Arabidopsis thaliana: one gene and its partners. The protein of the gene in region 1 purifies or fractionates together with the protein of each later gene. This does not show direct contact. Each region holds a gene or a part of one and is shown in the gene's direction. Other genes may lie near its edges. The genes, in order: AT1G44835, AT5G08630 and AT4G18060.

Region 1 (3,754 bases):
TTTTGAGTTCAATTTTTTTATTTATACTTTAGTCCCTCAAATTTAAACTTTTTTTATTTAATGCATATAATCATTTTACAAACAACAATTACAACACATAGTTTTATAAACTTAACAAACAAACAAATACTAATTTTAATAGTTTTATAAACTTAACAAGAAGCAAACAAGTACTAAATTTAAAATAAACAACATAAAAAACTAAAACAAATATTCTAATGGTGTTAACCGTGTTATTTATAATAAATATTCTAATGGTGTTAATTAAAATAAAATTTGTAATGTTTTATTATTTTTATATGATGTAATGATTTTTAATAAATAATAAGTGTTTAATTTAAATAATTTCATATTTTATACGAATTTTGCAAATCTATAATATATGGGGTCAAATTTTAAATTATATAATTAAAAAGTATTAGTATATAAAATAGAAATAGAATATTTCTAAGAATATTCTTTTTTAGAGTAGAAAATAGAGATATACATTGGAGAAAAACTCATCTCTAAAATTGAGTTACTCTATTTTAGAACAAGATATAGAGCTATACATTGGAGATGGTCTTAATACATAGTCAAAATTGATTACTTATTTGATGAAAAAATATGGATTTCTTATTTTATTTTCTCATACCAGTGATTGTTTTGTTGTATTGGGGCTGAAAAGTGTTCTTTCAGCACATCAGAGAAAAAAGTTAAGAATAGTGTGTTAAGCAGTAACCATACTCTTTAAAGCCGTAGATTAATTATTCAAGAAATTAAAACAACTAATTAAACAAAAATCCTAGCAAAATCTATTTGAATGAACCATATCCAAATCCACAAAGTCAGTCCCCCAAATGTTGAAACACGTAAATTAAACACACAACAACAAAAATATAATTAATTAAACATAACTAATGATTTTTATAATTTACACAAAAATCAATCAATATTTTTTTAACTATTTTATATTCATTTCTAACTACTTTTATATTTATATGTTATTAGAAAATATTAATATATATATATTTTTTATCAACCACACATATATTAAAATATAACTCTATGATCGGCTGCCCAATTTAGAGGAGAAGAGTTTACAAAAATAACATCAGACAACAATAAACGAGAAAAACAGGTTAAACAATATGCTTTAGAATTACATAAACGGTAAAAATAAGAAATCGAACCAAGCGTCGTTAGCTCAATTGGTAAAGACCCTAGACGAACCTTAGAGGTCGCCGATTCGAGTGACGTTTGGGACGAAACTAATATTACATGCTGTGGTTTCGGGTCTGAGAGATTACGGGATTCGGTCCAGAACCTCCTAATATTTATAAAAAAAAAAATTTTTAAAATAAGAAATTAAAGCTCGGAACATTCAAACTCGTCTAATAGGTTGGAGAAAGCTGGTCAATCATCAGGCGAATACGCCACCGAGACTAAACTCTACACAATCAGTTTCAAATATCTACAATCAATCCTTCTTGTAAAGATATTTTTCGTAGCCCAAATTTATGATGACTTTTTTTTATTTGTGGTGCACCATTTATGACAACTTAAAACAGTTTAATTTTAAATTAAAAATTTGTATTTTCTTATGACCTGTGGTTATATGTTGGGCCTTTTAGGCATTTGCAAGTTAAGTATGGTCGTGGATTGAAAAGCCCAATGTGTAATCCTCTAGTTTACTAAGAAGGTTTAATGTTTTTCAATCCAGTACTGCAAAATCTGCAAAACCTAAACTTTCGTCTTCTCAACAAAATCTGCAGTTCCTTGCTCCTTTCTCAGTCCAAATTCTCTGATTTTTGATTTTTTCGATTCAATGGGTTTCACCAAAGATCAGTTGCTTGATCGACTTCAGGTTTCCATTTTCACCTTTAAACTCAATTACATCATTTTCATTTCGCATTGCTTTTGTTGGAATTTGTCAGATAAGATTAGATAAATCATTAGCAGAGAACGGAAAATGTTACTTCGTTTTATGCTTGATTCTATTTGAAGAAGTTATGTGTATTAATGGATTTGGATGTGTATCTATGGATTCCAAGTTATGTGTATAGTCGTCTTGAACTCAGAAGTTTTTCAATGTCTACTTTTAGATTCTAACCCTTAGGTCAAGAATTTTGGTGTTACACGTTTTGTTAGTGTCAATGTTAAAAAAATGTGGCAATGTGAATTGATGATTAAGGATTTGTATCTATCTTTCAGGAACTTGAGATTGATTATTCCAAGTATGAACATCCGCCTGTACTAACCGTCGAAGAACAGGTGAATATACCTTAAAATGTTTTAGATTTTTAAAACTTAAGTGTATGATGTTTAAAGATGGATTTATAAGGCTTTGTTTTGTGTATTTAAATCTTCAGGCCAAGTATGTTAGCAGTAGTAAGGGTGCACTGAGTAAGAATCTCTTCTTGAAGGTAGTCTTTCAAAGCGGTACACCATTAAAGGCATTATCAAGTTAGAGTATTAGTTGATTGTTAATGGTGCATATGCCTCTATTTTGTTTTTGCAGGACAAGAAACATCGGTATTATATTGTTTCAGCGATGGTGGATACGAAAGTTGACATGAAAGGTAACATATGTTTTCTCCTTTTTTCGTTTGTGGATATTGGCATAGAAGAAGTCTCTGGGCTTTGTGAAGTTTGAATGTTTTTTTTTTTGGATGTTAATGTGTGTTCCCTGTGACTTCTAATTTAAACAGTTTTATCTCAGAGACTTGGTCTTGGAAAAGGAGGGATTAGAATGGCTCCAGAAGAAGCACTTGGTGAGCTTTTGCAGGTATTTTTCATAGTCTTTTCCTCTGCTACTGTGTTTTGTTATATATATCTGGAAAGAGTTTTATTAAATGATTGTGCTGTAACATGGGAACCATGGTAGCGATAGTTTTTTTGACAATTGATAAGAAAAGTTTCTCCAAACCAAATTGCTTTAAATGATCTATTTATGCATGGTGATATGTTTGTTTTGCTTATCGCAGTTTACAACAAATCCACACGAATATATTGAACTTATTGTCATTCATGTTTACAATTTTTGACACTCGTGCTACTCTCTTTTTTCGTTAAAGGTATCCCTCGGATGTGTTACCCCGTTTGCAGTTGTAAATGAATCAGCAAGGTATTGTTTGCCTTACGGTATTGGTTCATATGGTGTTTTCCCTTCCAAGTTCCTAATTATTTCCATTGACTGACATTCTTTATTAAAACTTTCCATGTTAAAGAGACGTGTCTCTCTTGTTAGACCAAAAATTCAAGAACCAAACGCGTTGCATCTTCCACCCATTGTCTAACGATGTCTCAGTCTGTAAGTTCTTTCATTACAGACTTTTCTTTTATGGTTCAAAATAGTTCATAACATCAGATTTTAGCTTATATCTAATTTGGTTGGTTCCTATCATTTCCAGCTCTGAACACATTGGGTCTGGACAAGTTTCTGAAGTCGATTGGGAGAGATCCCGTATACGTTGACCTTGAGGCAAATACTCTAAACCTTTAACTTGAGAACTCATGTTCCACAGTTCCTTTCCTCAGGGTTAACCTTTTGAACCTTTTGCTGTTTCAGGCTAACCCGGTAGTTGGTAAAGACCAGGCTCCAGATCTAGCTGTTTGTGTTCCGTCTAATTCAGTTATTGTTCCCGAGATTCCTAATCAAACATCTTCTACACAAATTCCTCTTCCAAAAAGTGTGTCAGCAGAGGTCAAGCCTGTGGCTTCAGGTATGCCTGATTTATCAGTTTCTTAACCATGCGCTCCAAGTCTTGTTAAA
Region 2 (3,754 bases), on another chromosome or scaffold:
TCAGACCAGAATCTGATCGCCGATGTGAACAATGACGGCGGAGGGAATATACTCTGCATCGAACCAGTGATCATCTTTGAAAACTTGAAGTCCAGGAACTTCGTTAGGAACAAGAAGAGTGATTCCACTGAGATCTGTATGAGCCGGTACACCTAAAGCTAAATCCGGCCGAGGACACGGCGGATAATAGTTAATCTTCATCATATACTCCGCCATCTCTCCGCCGAGACCTTCTTTCAACGCATCACGCTTTAACCCTAATCCATCCGAGAGAATCCCTAATAACGTCTCCGATAGCTTCTTCACATGCACTGCATACTCTTCATTCACCTCCCTAATACATTAAACCAACGGTTAACTTCGGTTTACAAAATTTGAATTTTTGATGATTCTGTTTTGGTTTACCTGTATTCAGGTGGATTCTTAGGCCAGAATCTGTAATTGACGCATGACGGTGGCCAGATTCGATGGAAGAGATGATCGACCCAAGCTTTTTTACCTTCTGGATCTTTCTGAAGCTTTGTTCCGTATCCTTCAATGTCTTTCGAATCTTCCGGTTTAGCGACGGATTCTTTCTCCGACGAAGGAAGCTCGAAGAATTTTCTTCCGACGTCTTGTAAACGTCGTATCAGCTCCGTCGGAATCCCGTGGTTAACCACTTGGAATAGCCCCCATTCTTCACTCGCTTTCACCACCGCGCGCCTCACGCTTTCTTCGTCGGGATCGCTTAGATCGACGACGGGAATCGCCGGCGTTGGACCTCGGAATGTTGTGATCGCTGGTTGTTCTTTCTCTGATCTGATGAACTCCAACGGGATTGCTTCTGTTAGTAGAGAAGAAGATGAAATGTCTTGGACTCTTTCGACCTCCATTATTTTTTTTGGTAGTTTGCGTTGCCGGAAACAATGGCGGATATGTAATTTGGGGGATGGTGTTACGAGTGGTTTTAAGGAGGGAGGAAGTGAGGACGTGGCGAAATCTTGGCCGCTGGATAGAGACAACTACCACATAAAGTACGTGTTGATATGTGTAAGTCGTCGAGGCTTCGTCACTCACGAGTTTGGTACCAAGTTTTGATAGATTTATGGATGAAGAATTTAATTAATTTGATTTGTTGTTTTGTGGTGGTAGTTTTAAGAAAAGGAAAAAAGTGATGTTATTATATTTTAGGCCATAAAATACCATATTTGAAATAGATATTTTAGTACATATTTTTGGCGGGTGTTCATGTAAACACAAATAAATATCATCTTGAGTCGTTGACAAAAACAAAAACAAAAACAACAAACTTTGGTTGGCCATTCTAATTACTGTAAAGATTTTCTTCTGCATTTCGATTGGTCCATGAATTTTACACAGGAAACATTATTTAATGACTTGGTTTCTAGAGTGGGTTATTTGAAGTTTTCTTTTTTTGGTCAAACATCATTTGGAATTTAATCAAATAATAATGGTGGAGAGTTAAGGCTTTACCATTTTAAATCGTAAGCAATGAATAAAATACTGGTTTCAAATCCAACCCCATTTAAAGCTAAAGATTCAAGGCCCATATAACAAGACAAGGCCCAGTTATTGGGCTACTATAGAAAAAGGAAAAACTACAGTATAGGGCTCTAAAACAGCAACACCTGTATAAACAAAAAAAGGAAACCGAGTGCTACTTAAGATATAAAATAACAAAAAAAAGGTGAGAGGCTAATTCGCATATTAAGTTTTTTTTCCCGTCTTTCCCATAAGGAAGGACGACGACCAAAAAGAGCTGAGAGCGAGAGAGAGAGAGAGAGAGCGAAGAGAAAAACGAAGAGAGACGGTGAGATCTCAACACTTGTATTCTTTCCTTGAGAGACCACCTCTCTCTCTCGACGACGCGCATTCCCAATTTCATACATTCTCCGTAAGATTTTTGATTGAGTCTCTCTAATTTCGTTGTTTATAATTCTCTCCAATCGTTTTCTTTGTTGTGGCGGGAACATCGATCCTCTTTTCTTCTGCGATTTTGCTTTCTTCGTTGTGATTTCGTTGCATTAGCTTCGAATTTTCGTTCCGTTTTGTTTGTTATTGATGATTGTGTTCGTCTCTTCTTTGTTACATGTGTTGTTATGCTTTTTTGACTGCTTTTTGTGTGTTTTACTTGTCCGTTTCGCCTTCTGGATTCTCCGAAAGTGGCGCATGATAGTGCTTTCTTTTTCTCGATCTCTCTTGGGTATGTGTTTTGATTCCTCGGTTTCGTTTTGGTTCCTTTGCTCTCAAGTGTCAATTTTGTCCCATGGTTTCAGATCTTTTCTAATTTCGATTGGGATTGCGATTTTTCTAGGGTTTAGTGCTATCTCGGTTTCTTCTGCATTGCTTTTCTTAACATTTTTCATTGGCTTTTCTTTTTTGCACATGATCTCACAAGTACCACTTGCTTTTCCATAGGCTCTGTCGAATTCAGTAGAAATTAGAATCAGCTCTAGGCTTGCATGCAATCATTTGCATTCTGTGCCACAAATTTGTACGTTTGCTAAGTTTTACTTGACCGTTGTGTCACCTTAAACGCCTTATGGGTTGATTTTCTGTTCTCCATGGTTTACATTTTCCGCTTTGGAACAACTGTGACGTCTTGCTTTTGTATACAATTCCCTTCTTGCTTGGATGACCTGGTTCTACATTTACTAGGATTTCACATTAGTGAATATGAGAATCACTTATATAGACCATTCATTTTTGTCTACACTGCAGGTTGGTTTTGCCATTTGAAGGATGCCTCTACTAAAAAAGAAGTCACATAAACTACTGGAGCCCCCAAAGAACTTGGAGCCTCAAGAACTTGTCTATCAAGTTCGTCTAACAAATGAGATCTTTCGAGATTATCAGTATCCTTATTCTGTAACTGTTACAATTTTAAGACTTATGTTTTGAATATTTGCCTTCTCCTTCTGTGTGCAGTTAGAGGAAAGAGAAATAAGCTTAAAACTTGTAATTCTGTTTGCCTGTTTCATTCTGGGACAACCTTTATTCATATTATTCTTCAAAGGCTTGGTTGTTCATGTTTATCAGTGCACATGCCGTGTCAGAACTATTTGTTTGCTTAACATAAAATAGATTGTACTTGAAGAGGTTAAATCTGTATCGCAACCGAGTTTGGACTTGTAAGTCTACTGGTAAAACTAGCTTGAGCTACGAGGAGGCCTTAGATTCAGAAAAACTGGCAGGCAAGAAGGTTCAAACTCTGCCCAGAGAGCTAGTTGCACCTGCTTTACGCATCATCCAATTCAGTAAGTTTTTAACTCCTTCATTGATTATTTTTATGTGATATAAGTGTGTCGAAGTCTTGATTTGCAGAGTGTCCAAGTCTTGATTTTACCTTTCTCGGTTTCTCTCTATAAGTTTTGCAAATCAGGACTACCTTTTTACCGTTTTGAATTTGTTTGTGTAAGATAATTTTCTTAATACTTGAAATCTCTGGTTTATGAGCATTATTTCTGACTCTTTTTCCTCCATTTTGAAAAGGTACGCTTTCATTGAAAGATCTTGCTGACAAAATAGCGACAGAGTTGCAAGATTGCTTTTTCCCTGGCGCAGAGTTGTATGGGGAAAGGGATGGGGAACTGCATCCTTGCAAAATCTTGAGGATAGTATCAGATGGGGATAGTAAACCTCAGTATGAGGTAGGCTTCCTTGACAAAAACAAGGAAGTAGATGATAACACAGTGCTCTTTGGGGAGGATCTGTCATGGAAGAAGTTTCCATTTAGTAGAAATTTTCTGAAGTC
Region 3 (3,754 bases), on another chromosome or scaffold:
AATAAAGACCTCTTCCTCATGAGAAATGACAACATTAGACTCTATGTTGCCTTCAGGAACACCGTTGGATTCTGGAAGAGGCGAAGTTTTTCCCTCATTTTCTTTCACATCAGAGTCAGTAGCACCTGAAGACGTCTGCCTAATCTCATCAAATGCAAGAGCAACTTCAGCAGCAATCTCAGTTGCTTTAGGCAAAGAATTATCATCAGCCTCGTTTGAGACTATTGTATCAACATGCGAGATCTCAACCAGTTCTCCAGATTCGGGATCATTCGGCACAGCTGAATCCATCAAACCAGTATTCTCTACAATCGCATTAGCAGTAAATCCCATAAACGGAGCATCTGCAGCAATAGGCACAGGTTGAATTGGCACAGAACTCACAGTAATAACTTCAGAAACATCATCACCAGTCTTCTTATCATCATCTATCTTCTTGACTTCCCGTGACTCATCATCCGAGCTGGAGCTGCTGCTGCTGCTGCTACTACTACTGCTGCTACTAGAGCTCTTGTCATGATCATGGCTTGAATCAGTGATCTCTATGCGTTCATTAACACCATCATCGCTCTCCTTGTCACCTTGGCTTCTCGAATCTAGCACATCAGTTTACAAATCCAATCAATATCACAAACAGAGTGACTTAACACTGACTATTCAAGTCAAATCTAACTATTGTACCATCCAGAGAATGAAACATATACTAGTAAACAAAATAGGCACAGCTACTACTAATGAAACCAAAGCATCAGAGATAAACAAAACTCAGCAAATGATAAACAACTTCAATCATAATCATGAATCTGATAAACAAAACTATCCTTTAGTCCAAAACAGAAAACTAGATTCAACCCATATGGATTACGAAGCAGAACATGCTAAAATTAACCGAAAGATCAAATTTTTACAGCTTGAGATCCCAAAATTGTGAGCCTAAAACCCCAATCAAAACACAAAGAAGAGTAAAAAAGATACCCATTTGTTTAGATCAATGAGCACAAAACCATAAAAATCAAAACTTGAAGAAACTATACAGAGAACAAAGTTAAAAAAAAACTCAGATTTAAAGCGAAGCAAATATATAAACAAACAAGAAAGGTGGCCTAAACGTGTGTGGTGTGAGTGAATAATTGAGAGATACAGAGAGACAACAACAAGAAGAAAAAGGCAAAAAGAAGAAAGTAGTAGTGAGATTATGGGGTGTTAAAAGAATTAAAAACCATGGTTGTTGGATTTGAGGTTGATTAGAGTAGAAGATCCTTGTTGTTGTTGTTCTTCCTCTTGCTTTTTCTTGGCAGCTTTCCTTTTCTTAGCACCTGAAGGCATGATTTAGGCTAGGCTCCTTTGGTGGGGATCGATCTCAAAAACAGCTATGGCGGATCGTGGCTTTTGTCTCTTTGATTTCTCTCTGTTAAAATATAATGGCGTCTTCTTTTCTGTCGAGCCGTAAATGTTTCAAAACTCAAATTGGTGGAAGTGGGAAAGTTTTAGATTCTTCTTATACATACATGTGAAAGGGTTTCTGAGTTTTATTGCTTTTTTTTAACTGTAAAATCACTAATTGATCTTCTTGTAATTTTGTTTCCGCGTTTGTTTCGTTTATTTTCCGCGTTTGGTTTACTAATTTAGCTATTAACGAAATAGTATAATGGATAGAGATTATTTTTGTAAAGTTTGTTCAAACAAAATCATCTTTACAACTTGATTGTGTTATAGATAAATTAAAACAAAAAAATGTTGTCATTCAGTACTTTAGATACCAATATACATTTGTCTTTTGGTTGACTATAATTTGATTTAAGTTTACATCAACAATAGAACCCTGTTTTAAGAACATGGAATTTAATGAAATATCTCACTGAAATTTTAAGTCGGTAGAGTAGGAATCTATACTATACTGAGAAAGGCAACGTTAATAATAAAATAAAAGAAAAAGTATATAGGTTGTCTTTTCAGATTATAATTATGTAATGGCAGTTAGGACAAAATGATATGGGAGGAGTGGGGACAAATAACAAGTGGTTATGAGTTGTCCATGTCAGTTTTTTTGTTAATACCTATACTTTTAAGTTTTAATTAACTTAATCTCAGTTTATGCCAAACGGATTTAGCTAATTTTAATTAATTACTCAATAATAATCGTAAGTCGTAACGTAAGGTTTTTAGTAGAAAAGCCTCGTCTGCTTCCAAATAATTCAATCGCGAACGCTCCTTTTAATCAGACCGGACCGGACCGGTTTGGTTCAATCAATCGAATCGACCCGACCCGCTTAGATCGATGTGTGTGCTCTGTGATTGACTGATTTTCTCAGAGGGATAATCAGTGACACATCGAGTCGAAGAAGAACATACATTTCTACTGAATCAGATCTGATCTGCTTTGTCAGTTTTTAAACTGTTCTGATCTAATTGAGATTTCTCAATTCCACTCAAAATCCTTTAAAGCTTGTCTCTTTTTGGTATCTCTGAATCAATTTGGGGAAATCAAGAGGAGAAGTGACAATGGATGCGTTTAGAAGACAAGCGAGTAAGCTTAGAGACCAAGTCGCAAAGCAGCAACTGGTAATTCCTTTTCATCGCCGCAACTAGTTTCACTGTTACCGATTCAGCGAAACGAAGCTCAATTTAGGTTCTTTGTTGCTAATTTGGATTAAAAAAAATGGAAACTTTTTGATGGGTTTTGATTTGTATATTATTGAGTATTATAGAGTTACACAATCTTGGTTGTGATGATGTGTTGATTGATGTGTGGTAATGGGGAATGTAGGCTGTGATAAAGCAATTCAGTGGGACTGGTTATGAAAGCTCAGATGTAATGGTGATTGATGAGCTTGAAATGCAAAGGCATCATCAACTCGATAAACTTTACCGCTCTACTCGTTCTGCAAAGGTTTGACTGATATTGACCTAATGGCATTGTCACATTTTATATGAGTTCATTGTTGGGGGAGAAGGTTTCAGTATGATTCATCGTAGCACAATACCCTCAAACATATGTTATTGTCACTTTCAGGAGTTCCAGAGAGATATTGTTAAAGCAGCTGAGGCATTTACCACGATCGGGCTCAGACACATTGAAGCAGGTACTTAACTACTTATGAGTGTCTGTTTTGTGTTACCTATCATTGAATTAAGTTATACTATGATACTTTTGTGAGTTTTCTTTTAATATTCTTTAAAATTTCAGGAACCAAGTTGTCTGAAGACTGTTGTAGGTATGGGAACGAAAATAGTCAGAACATTGATGAGAATATACTGGCCAAGGCTGCAGCTATATACGGTGATGCACGGAAACATGTAGACAAAGAACAAGAAGACTTCAACAAGCTTTTGGCTTCTCAGGTTCGGCTTGGATTATCTGTGTTTAATCTTAGTATGTTTACGTAGAATTAAATCTAGTAGATAACAAGAGAAAACCTTTTTGTTAAATGCCGTTAAGGTTTTGGATCCTCTAAGAGCTATGGTTGCCGGTTCTCCTCTTGAAGATGCTCGTCATCTTGCTCAACGTTACAGCCGCATGAGACAAGAAGCAGAGACACATGTAATCATCTTAAGATCTTAGTTCTATGATGATGTTGGCTATTTTATTTTGTAATGTAAGTTAAAACTTAAAAGCAAAACAGGCAACGGAAGTCTCTAGACGGCAAGCACGTGTAAGAGAAGCTCCGATTCCAGAAAACGTAGCAAAGCTTCAACTAGCGGAAGCAAAAATGCAAGAGCTAAAAGCAAATATGGCAGTCCTTGGTAAAGAAGC

The links.
Region 2: the proteins of AT1G44835 (region 1) and AT5G08630 fractionate together in Arabidopsis thaliana (co-fractionation; one large-scale study listed by BioGRID). This does not show direct contact.
Region 3: the proteins of AT1G44835 (region 1) and AT4G18060 fractionate together in Arabidopsis thaliana (co-fractionation; one large-scale study listed by BioGRID). This does not show direct contact.

The regions. Positions count from the first base shown.
Region 1 is NC_003070.9:16,938,102-16,941,855, forward strand, and holds the start of AT1G44835 (YbaK/aminoacyl-tRNA synthetase-associated domain-containing protein), read left to right. Parts: upstream 1-1,699; 5' UTR 1,700-1,807; coding exon 1,808-1,846; intron 1,847-2,193; coding exon 2,194-2,253; intron 2,254-2,351; coding exon 2,352-2,405; intron 2,406-2,500; coding exon 2,501-2,561; intron 2,562-2,690; coding exon 2,691-2,767; intron 2,768-3,056; coding exon 3,057-3,106; intron 3,107-3,209; coding exon 3,210-3,292; intron 3,293-3,392; coding exon 3,393-3,463; intron 3,464-3,550; coding exon 3,551-3,704; intron 3,705-3,754.
Region 2 is NC_003076.8:2,801,127-2,804,880, reverse strand, and holds the start of AT5G08630 (DDT domain-containing protein), read left to right. Parts: upstream 1-1,709; 5' UTR 1,710-1,894; exon of another isoform or gene 1,895-2,203; intron 2,204-2,721; 5' UTR 2,722-2,742; coding exon 2,743-2,855; intron 2,856-3,084; coding exon 3,085-3,257; intron 3,258-3,492; coding exon 3,493-3,754. Other genes in the region: FLS1 (flavonol synthase 1), read right to left, coding at 7-334, 406-872.
Region 3 is NC_003075.7:10,028,411-10,032,164, reverse strand, and holds the start of AT4G18060 (SH3 domain-containing protein), read left to right. Parts: upstream 1-2,131; 5' UTR 2,132-2,502; coding exon 2,503-2,562; intron 2,563-2,767; coding exon 2,768-2,890; intron 2,891-3,013; coding exon 3,014-3,083; intron 3,084-3,187; coding exon 3,188-3,342; intron 3,343-3,439; coding exon 3,440-3,541; intron 3,542-3,623; coding exon 3,624-3,754. Other genes in the region: AT4G18070 (suppressor), read right to left, coding at 10-596, 1,221-1,326. UniProt on the Arabidopsis thaliana protein: May be involved in the recruitment of DRP2A to the accessory protein complex and in the negative regulation of its GTPase activity.